Linked DNA regions of Arabidopsis thaliana. The protein of the gene in region 1 interacts with the protein of each later gene in a pairwise test. Each region holds a gene or a part of one and is shown on either strand. Other genes may lie near its edges. The genes, in order: petB and PGR5-LIKE A.

Evidence for each region.
Region 2: the proteins of petB (region 1) and PGR5-LIKE A interact in a protein complementation assay, tested with the Arabidopsis thaliana proteins (one study listed by BioGRID).

The regions. Positions count from the first base shown.
Region 1 is NC_000932.1:73,043-76,868, reverse strand, and holds petB (cytochrome b6), read right to left. Parts: upstream 2,029-3,826; coding exon 2,023-2,028; intron 1,219-2,022; coding exon 577-1,218; downstream 1-576. Other genes in the region: petD (cytochrome b6/f complex subunit IV), read right to left, coding at 381-388; psbH (photosystem II protein H), read right to left, coding at 2,163-2,384; psbN (photosystem II protein N), read left to right, coding at 2,489-2,620; psbT (photosystem II protein T), read right to left, coding at 2,686-2,787; psbB (photosystem II 47 kDa protein), read right to left, coding at 2,972-3,826. UniProt on the Arabidopsis thaliana protein: Component of the cytochrome b6-f complex, which mediates electron transfer between photosystem II (PSII) and photosystem I (PSI), cyclic electron flow around PSI, and state transitions.
Region 2 is NC_003075.7:12,005,338-12,010,355, forward strand, and holds PGR5-LIKE A (PGR5-LIKE A), read left to right. Parts: upstream 1-1,648; 5' UTR 1,649-1,819; coding exon 1,820-2,018; intron 2,019-2,444; coding exon 2,445-2,557; intron 2,558-2,655; coding exon 2,656-2,752; intron 2,753-2,844; coding exon 2,845-2,945; intron 2,946-3,040; coding exon 3,041-3,097; intron 3,098-3,181; coding exon 3,182-3,258; intron 3,259-3,351; coding exon 3,352-3,514; intron 3,515-3,593; coding exon 3,594-3,691; coding exon of another isoform or gene 3,692-3,695; exon of another isoform or gene 3,696-3,768; coding exon 3,769-3,838; 3' UTR 3,839-3,848; intron 3,849-3,920; 3' UTR 3,921-4,199; downstream 4,200-5,018. Other genes in the region: LDOX (leucoanthocyanidin dioxygenase), read right to left, coding at 1-141, 226-722; AT4G22900 (transmembrane protein, putative (DUF1191)), read left to right, coding at 4,884-5,018. UniProt on the Arabidopsis thaliana protein: Ferredoxin-plastoquinone reductase involved in cyclic electron flow (CEF) around photosystem I. The homodimer is probably not involved in CEF.

The DNA.
Region 1 (3,826 bases):
ACTAATGGAGTCTACCCTCTACTCTTCATTAGATCCTGTATTCACTCCGATAGTATCATAAATCGAGTCGATGCAGAGAAAATGAATGCATTTACATACTATTACTATTAATAATTATTTTCTTTTTTTTTTTTAGTCCAAAATAACTAAAAACATAATCAGGATTTTGTTCCATCCCTTAATCTACTGGATTTTACGGAGCCCACTCATCCACGACAGCGTCGGGTACGATCATAGAAAAGATTCTCTTCAAGTGAACCAGCCTATCCCCTGTATGGGGCTTACACAGTGGTTGGAACAAAGACACATTTGGTTGTGAATTCCAATGTAGCAGATAAAGTAATATTTCTGCACGGCCCGATCAATAGTTCAAGTCACACACTCCCATAATCCATTATCTCTTCATAGAATTCCCTTCAACTTTTTATGTCAAAAAAATAATAAAATATTGTGGAGTTGAAGGGAAATATCCAAATACATGTTTTATTTTTTTAATAATCCATATTTATAGCAATAAAATACTATCGTTCCTTCACCAAGTAATAAGTAAGTACAAATACCTAGAATCTATATTATTTATAAGGGACCAGAAATACCTTGCTTACGTATCATTAGGAAATGCATTAACATAAAGACGGCCGTAAGAAGAGGTAATACAAAAGTGTGTAAACTATAAAAACGAGTCAAAGTGGATTGTCCAACACTAGCACTTCCGCGTAATAATTCTACAAGAGGTGATCCTATTACCGGAATAGCGTCAGGTACACCTGTTACAATTTTGACCGCCCAATAACCAATTTGATCCCAAGGTAAAGAATAACCTGTTACACCAAAAGATGCGGTCAATACACCCAGAACCACACCAGTAACCCAAGTTAATTCGCGAGGTTTTTTAAAACCACCGGTGAGGTATACACGAAATACGTGCAGGATCATCATTAGGACCATCATACTTGCCGACCATCGATGAACTGATCGGATTAACCAACCAAAGTTAGCTTCAGTCATTATATATTGAACAGAAGCAAAAGCTTCAGTAACGGTTGGACGGTAATAAAAAGTCATAGCAAATCCCGTAGCTACTTGTACTAAAAAACAAGTAAGGGTAATTCCGCCTAGACAATAAAATATGTTGACATGCGGAGGAACATATTTACTAGTTATATCATCTGCAATCGCCTGAATCTCAAGACGTTCTTCGAACCAATCATAAACTTTATTGAGATAGGTAAACCAAGGTTACTCCCCCTCCAAGAACTGTATATGAGAATTTCATCTCGTACAGCTCAAACAAAAAAAGACCCAAATACTGATTGAAACAGATATGGAATATAAAGTTTTAAACTTGTCTCTCATTCAATATTATTTTTTATTATTTAAAGATATGAAAGAGTCAAAATGCGAAAGCTCGTCTTTGTGGTTAAATGCCAAAAAATCAAGTAAGCTCATTCGTCTTTATGTTGTGTTGATCGTTACAGGCCTCTTGAATCTTCTAGATTACCTATCTTTATTGTCTTTTTTTATTTGGTATTTGTATGGAACGGGGACAGGGATTTCTTCTTGTTTTCTTTATTATTGATAGGAATTCTCTTGTTAAGACCCTACTTAACTAATCAATTGAAACCTCAGATTCATACGAGAACCACGATAATTTAATGAAACCTTCAAAGTCCAAAGTTCACTGAGTGAGAACCATTGGATCATCACTTATTCAATAAAAAAAAAGCTATAATGACTAAAAACATAAAATACAAAGAAGCGTTTGTCCTTTGATCCAAATAAGAGTTTAAAAGCAGAAAATTTTTTTGATTTATTAAAGTTTATAAGATAGAACGGAAAGAAGTCCGGCTACGAGGTTTGAGTATTTAAGTATGAATCATAGTTCGAATACTTTGTGATCTATTTGATCTATTTCGTGCTCCAGATACTCGAATGAATATCCGACGAAGTAAAACCATCTTGATAAAGATGACAGACCCCATTCTCTGTACTATCCATAGGGTCAATTCTAACAAGTCACACACTCATATTCCGGAAATATACAATGCAGAAAAAAATTTCGCGGTCGAACTACCAAAGGAGAATAGGCTAAAATTGTTAGACCTGCATACTTTACTTTTTTGTATCGAGCTAAAAGCTAGAACTTCAAGATTCTTCTCAGTCTAATTCACTGAAATTCCATCCAGTAGAACAGAAGAATTATAAATCTCCAAAATAATAGATAGGAATACCGCAAATAGAGCCATTGCAACACCCATCAAAGGGGTCGTTCCCCATCCGGGAGCTACTTTACCATATTCGGAATTCAATGGTTTCAATAACTTCCCTACAGTAGTGCTTCTTGGACCAGATCTAGAACTATCTTCAACAGTTTGTGTAGCCATAAATCTTATTTTGTATTCATTACGATCTGTTGACTTTGTATACCATTCCGTTGTAAATAAATGATCTTAGCATAGATCCGGTGTGGTCTTTCAATTCTATAATAATGGAAACAGCAACCCTAGTCGCCATCTTTATATCTGGGTTACTTGTAAGTTTTACTGGGTATGCTCTATATACTGCCTTTGGGCAACCCTCTCAACAACTAAGAGATCCATTCGAGGAACACGGGGACTAGTTAACGTAATCAGCCTCCAAATATTTGGAGGCTGATTACGTTAATGAAGATAATGAAAAATTATTTCATTTTTTAGTTGAAATTTTAGGTGGTTCCCGAAAAAAAATAGCGAAAAAAATTATCCCTAAAGTGGATACTAAGAGAAATGTATAAACCAATGCTTCCATAAATTTGATCGTGGTTTACAATTATAGCTTTCATACCTGTTTTGTTTACGTTTTGTTTACTTGGGAGGATAAAGAAAGAAAAAGAGTCAAAGAAACGGCAGCGATTTAAATAAAGATTCCTACAGTACCCTACCTATTAAATAAAATAACAAACAGAAACTAGAAGAAAAAAAGCAATGTTGCATCAGACTGCTTGTCGTTTTGTAGTTGGATCTCCAAGTTTTTGGAATGCCCCGAATTCCACTTGAGCATCCAAATCTGGATCAATACCAGCAAAAACATCTCTGAAGAGGGTTCTAGCACCATGCCAAATGTGTCCAAAGAAGAAAAGTAGAGCAAACGAAGCATGTCCAAACGTAAACCAACCTCTTGGGCTGCTACGAAAAACACCATCAGATTTCAAAGTCGCACGATCTAATTCAAAAATCTCACCCAATTGAGCCCGTCTAGCATATTTTTTCACAGTTGCGGGATCACTATAACTCACTCCATTGAGTTCACCACCATAAAACTCAACAGTTACACCTACTTGTTCGACACTATATTTTGATTCTGCCCTTCTAAACGGGACGTCAGCTCTAACAATTCCGTCTCCGTCTACCAAAACTACCGGAAAAGTTTCAAAAAAAGTAGGCATGCGGCGTACAAAAAGTTCACGCCCTTCTTTATTTCTAAAGACGGGGTGGCCTAACCATCCAACAGCTATTCCATCCCCATTGTCCATTGAACCCGCTCGGAATAACCCCCCTTTTGCTGGATTATTACCAATATAATCATAAAAAGCTAATTTTTCAGGAATTTTCGCCCAAGCTTCTGATAAACTTTGATTTTCAGCCAGTCCAGCACTAACTCTTCGATATATTTCTTGTTGAAAGTATCCCTGATCCCATTGATAACGAGTAGGACCAAATAATTCGATGGGAGTAGTTGCAGAACCATACCACATAGTTCCAGCAACAACAAAAGCTGCAAAAAAGACAGCAGCAATACTACTGGAAAGGACGGTTTCAATATTGCCCATACGTAATCCTTTGTATAG
Region 2 (5,018 bases), on another chromosome or scaffold:
TTCATTTGTAGAAGAAGCTCTTCTAAACCACCAACTTCTTTCTCTAGACGGTCAGGCTCTAAACCTAGACCGACAGAGAGAGCCTTGAAGACTTTAGTCGCTAGCAAACGAAGACACTTCGCGTACTCACTCGTTGCTTCTCTACAATCATCGAAAAACGTTAATAAAAGATTCTAAAACCAAAACAAGATTTTGTTTTCTTTAGTAAAACAATTCAAAGCTTACATGTAATCACTTGGTGTCTTAGGCCAAATTGATAGATCTCTCTTCTCTTCAGGATACGCAAGATGAAAGAAGTAATCTTCCCATTCCAATTGTCCACTCGCGTTGTTAGCCAATTTACTTCCATAGCCTTGAATCTTTCCAGTGGCTTGATCGTTTGCATACTTCTCCTTCTCTTCCACAGACAAACTGAAAAACTCTTCTCCGGCTTTCTTGACACGCTCCATTAGATCAGCTGGTATTCCATGGTTGATCAAATGCATCACTCCCCAATCCAAAGATGCCTTTTTCAGCTCCTCAATACAATTCTCACGGATCTTTTCATCGTCTGACTCGATGTTCTTTAGATCGATTGTGGGAACTTGAGGACCGTCTTCTTTCTTCTCTTCTAGGAAAACATCGTTGATGCTCTCGAGCTCTTCTTTTGGACGAATATATTCTTTTGGAATCGATATGATTCCGCTTTTTGCTAGACTCTCAACTCTTTCAACCGCAACCATCTTCTTTAGTCTTCTGTTTAAAGCTAAAACAGAGCAGAAAACAGAGTAAGAAGTAAATAAACTTAAAAACAGGGGAAAAAACAGAGTAATAAAAAAAATGGATTTGTTTTGTTTTTCTTCTTACACTCTTTTTTGTAATTGGTTGCAAGTAAATGAAATGTGCAAAGACTCTTTCTTATATAGCAAAGTTTTTACTATACTTTTAGTTAGAAGAGTTTGTTACCGAACTAAGAGACATTGTAGAGCTACCGGTGGTTAGTGCTATTGTTGTGAGGTAAGTGCGTGACTCACTTCACGGTCAACGGGAGAGGATGGTTGGGTTGACTGATTGGTCAAAAAGATTACTACTATATGGGCTTGGGTCTAGACTCCCAGAAAAGGCCCAATAGAATTAAACCCATAATCGCTATCAACGTGTTCTTCGTCGCGTGCTTTAAGCGTGTCTCCACGTGTTCACCTCTACTAGTTCTTCTACTAACCACATTTTCTTTTTGTAGTTTGGAAATCAATTACTAAAAAAACAATTTGACTGGTTTTCAATTTCAAATAGACAATTGTATGTGGATCAATAATTCTTTTGGAAAACTAAATTATTTATCTTGTTTGTTTTTTAAAATTTGGAACTCATTTTTATTTTAATGGTTTGTACTAAAGTATATTATCAGCTGAATTCAACTACACATACTACATGTCAAATTTTTTTAAAAAATCACCATGTTTCGAAAAAAAAATCTTCTTACTCATCTCACAGTATTTTTTTTATTGTATAATCAAAGCCTAAAATTATGTCTTTTCTCTATTTTAAGTTTTTGTTTTGTTTAAGAAAACCGGATATTTAATGCTGACGTGGATATTCTGATTATGAGGATGAGAGGAAGGAAAAAATAAGAGAAATCTGCCTAGGAATTTATCTCCACACTTCTCTTATCTCCTAATTTCTTCCCTCCAAATTTATAATAAAACCAAAAAAAAAAAAAAAAAAAAAAATCAGAAGAAACCTGAGAAGCTCACAGTAAACACATCTTCAACCACAGGTTCATACTTACTGAAAAAAACAGAGGAAAAAAAGGAGCTCCCTTTTCTATCTCTAAGGGAAAATGGGTAGCAAGATGTTGTTTAGTTTGACAAGTCCTCGACTTTTCTCCGCCGTTTCTCGCAAACCTTCCTCTTCTTTCTCTCCTTCTCCTCCGTCGCCGTCTTCGAGGACTCAATGGACTCAGCTCAGCCCTGGAAAATCGATTTCTTTGAGAAGAAGAGTCTTCTTGTTGCCTGCTAAAGCCACAACAGAGCAATCAGGTCTTGATTTGGCCACTTTAGTCTCGATTTCGAACACTCCGCCTTAGTTTTCTGTTTACAAAGCCATTTGGATTCGAATTTGTTCACAATTGGGTTTCCAAAGTTTGAGCCTTTTGAAATTTAGGATATATTATTTTAATTCAACGTCTCTAGCTCTGAAAATTTATGTTTTTAAGTCACTAACTTGTAGTATCCAGACTCGAATCCTGTTAAAGTTCAATTCTTTGAAGGGTTTGATTGATTCAATGGCTATAACTTTGGTATAGTATATTTGTTTGTATTGGACTTTGTTGACTATTTAGTGGTTAACTCTGTACTAAAGTTTTGCAATGTCAGAAGTTGTGTAACTATTAGGTTGCATAAGTAAGGTATCAACTTTAGATTTGCTATGAAGTTCTCAATTACAGTCTTTTTGTCTTCCTTAAGGTCCAGTAGGAGGAGACAACGTCGATAGCAATGTTTTGCCCTATTGTAGCATCAACAAGGCTGAGAAGAAAACAATTGGTGAAATGGAACAAGAGTTTCTCCAAGCGTTGCAAGTAAACGCTACAATAAACCATTTTTTTTATAGTTGCCAAAACATGATATATATCTAATCTTCAAGAGCCTGAGAATTGCTTTTGTCTTTTGATTACAGTCTTTCTATTATGATGGCAAAGCGATCATGTCTAATGAAGAGTTTGATAACCTTAAAGAAGAGTTAATGTGGGAAGGAAGCAGTGTTGTGATGCTAAGTAATCATCAACTATGGGACTAAATTTCATTTCTTTGTTTTGGTTTCTTTGGTGCAAAGTCCTAAATCTTTTATTGGTAATATGAAACACAGGTTCCGATGAACAAAGATTCTTGGAAGCTTCCATGGCTTATGTTTCTGGAAATCCAATCTTGAATGATGAAGAATATGATAAGCTCAAACTCAAACTAAAGGTTTCCATTCACTTTTTATGCTTCAGTGAAAATAGACATACCCTTATAAGATTGGTTTAAGCTTCAAGTTTATGATTCTTTCTGTATCCATGTAGATTGATGGTAGCGACATTGTGAGCGAGGGTCCAAGATGCAGTCTCCGTAGTAAAAAGGTAAATAGAACATAAGATTCATTGTTAATATTAGATTATAGATAGATACTAATTTTCAGTCTTTATGAACTTCCTCAAATGTAGGTGTATAGTGATCTCGCTGTAGATTATTTCAAAATGTTATTGTTGAATGTTCCAGCAACCGTTGTTGCTCTCGGACTGTGAGTCTCTATACCGAGTTTTCTATTCAAACATCCAAATCATATGAAACCCATATTTCGTCTTTGTTTATTCATTCAATTCTGTACTTGCAGCTTTTTCTTCCTGGACGACATTACAGGTTTTGAGATCACATACATCATGGAGCTTCCAGAACCATACAGTTTCATATTCACTTGGTTCGCTGCTGTGCCTGTGATTGTATATCTGGCTTTATCAATCACCAAATTGATCATCAAGGACTTCTTGATCTTGAAGGTAAGAACCATTACCATTACTCAAGATTGCAAAAGAAAAACATCAAAGAGCCTTTTTATGAATGTTTCTTGTTTCACAGGGTCCTTGTCCGAATTGTGGAACGGAAAACACCTCCTTCTTTGGAACAATTCTGTCAATCTCCAGCGGCGGCAAAACCAACACTGTCAAATGCACCAAGTAAGATTTTACCTTCGAATATGGTTTCAAAAGTGTAACATATTACTATCTGATTCTTTGATTATCTCTGTTTTTAGCTGCGGAACCGCGATGGTGTATGACTCGGGTTCTAGGTTGATCACATTGCCAGAAGGAAGCCAAGCTTAAACCCTGTGAGGTACACATCTCATTTATAGTAAATTCTTTAGATCACATGGAAGTCAGAGATAGTAAAATTTGCTTTTTCCAGCTAGATGAAGATGGGAAAAGAAGAATGGGTTTTGTCAGAAGCAAAATAGATTCGAAGTTAAATGTATATGTAAGATCTTCCATGTTAGCTCTCTCTCCTTCACATGTTTTCTGATTTGTAAGTATTGTGTGTAAGCAATAAGAGATATATAATATGAGCACTTCTTCATCTACCTTTGTAGATAAAAATATAATCATTACTATAGTTAAATCAAATTGTATACATGAAAGACCAAATTCGAATTTAAAATGTTTATTTCGATAACTTTACAATTTCAAATTAACTTTGGTACATTTCTAATACTATTATGATTTGTATCTAAAACGACCTTAAAAAATGATTTTAAGTCAAGAAAACGAAAAGCATACACGATTATATACATTTGCTTACCGAGGCAAGAAACTATGAGAAATGCATGGTGTTAATTTGGATGTAAATTTTATGAAATGGTGTGGAACATAAAGAGATTGATTGAGAAGAGAACTAAAGTCAAGAACATATATAATGAAAGGACAGACAAAGGTAACAACATTGCACAAAAGAGGATAAAGTCACACAAACATTAGCACGCCAATGTCTCTCTCTTTTTTAGTCTAAAAATTGATTACAATTTTTTTTTATGAATTTTAATTAACACAGAAAGTGTAATCATGATCATCATCTTCCCATGCCTCTATCATCATTGATCCAATTTTCTCCTCCACTACTGAACCTATTAATTGCTTTTACGTTGATTTAAAAATTTTAAAACCTCTACGTTAGAACGGTCATATGCTTATTTAACAATTAGATCATGTCTTCTATAAAGGTAAAAGAGAAATCTGACAAATGAAGTGTAAGTGTTTATAATGTTTGTGTCCCAAAACACACATCCCCCACAAAAGTAAAAACACCATCAAAACTTTCTTTCTTTCCTCTTATCTTCACTTCCTCTTGTAAACCCTAGATTCTCTTGTTCCTCTTATGGATTCATTCTCTTTTTGTATCATCATCATGATACTTCTCTTATCATTCCACCAATCTAAGTCTCAATTGATTCAATCTACACATCTTCTTGATCTCATGATCAGAGATTACACCATTAGAAACTTTAAGCTC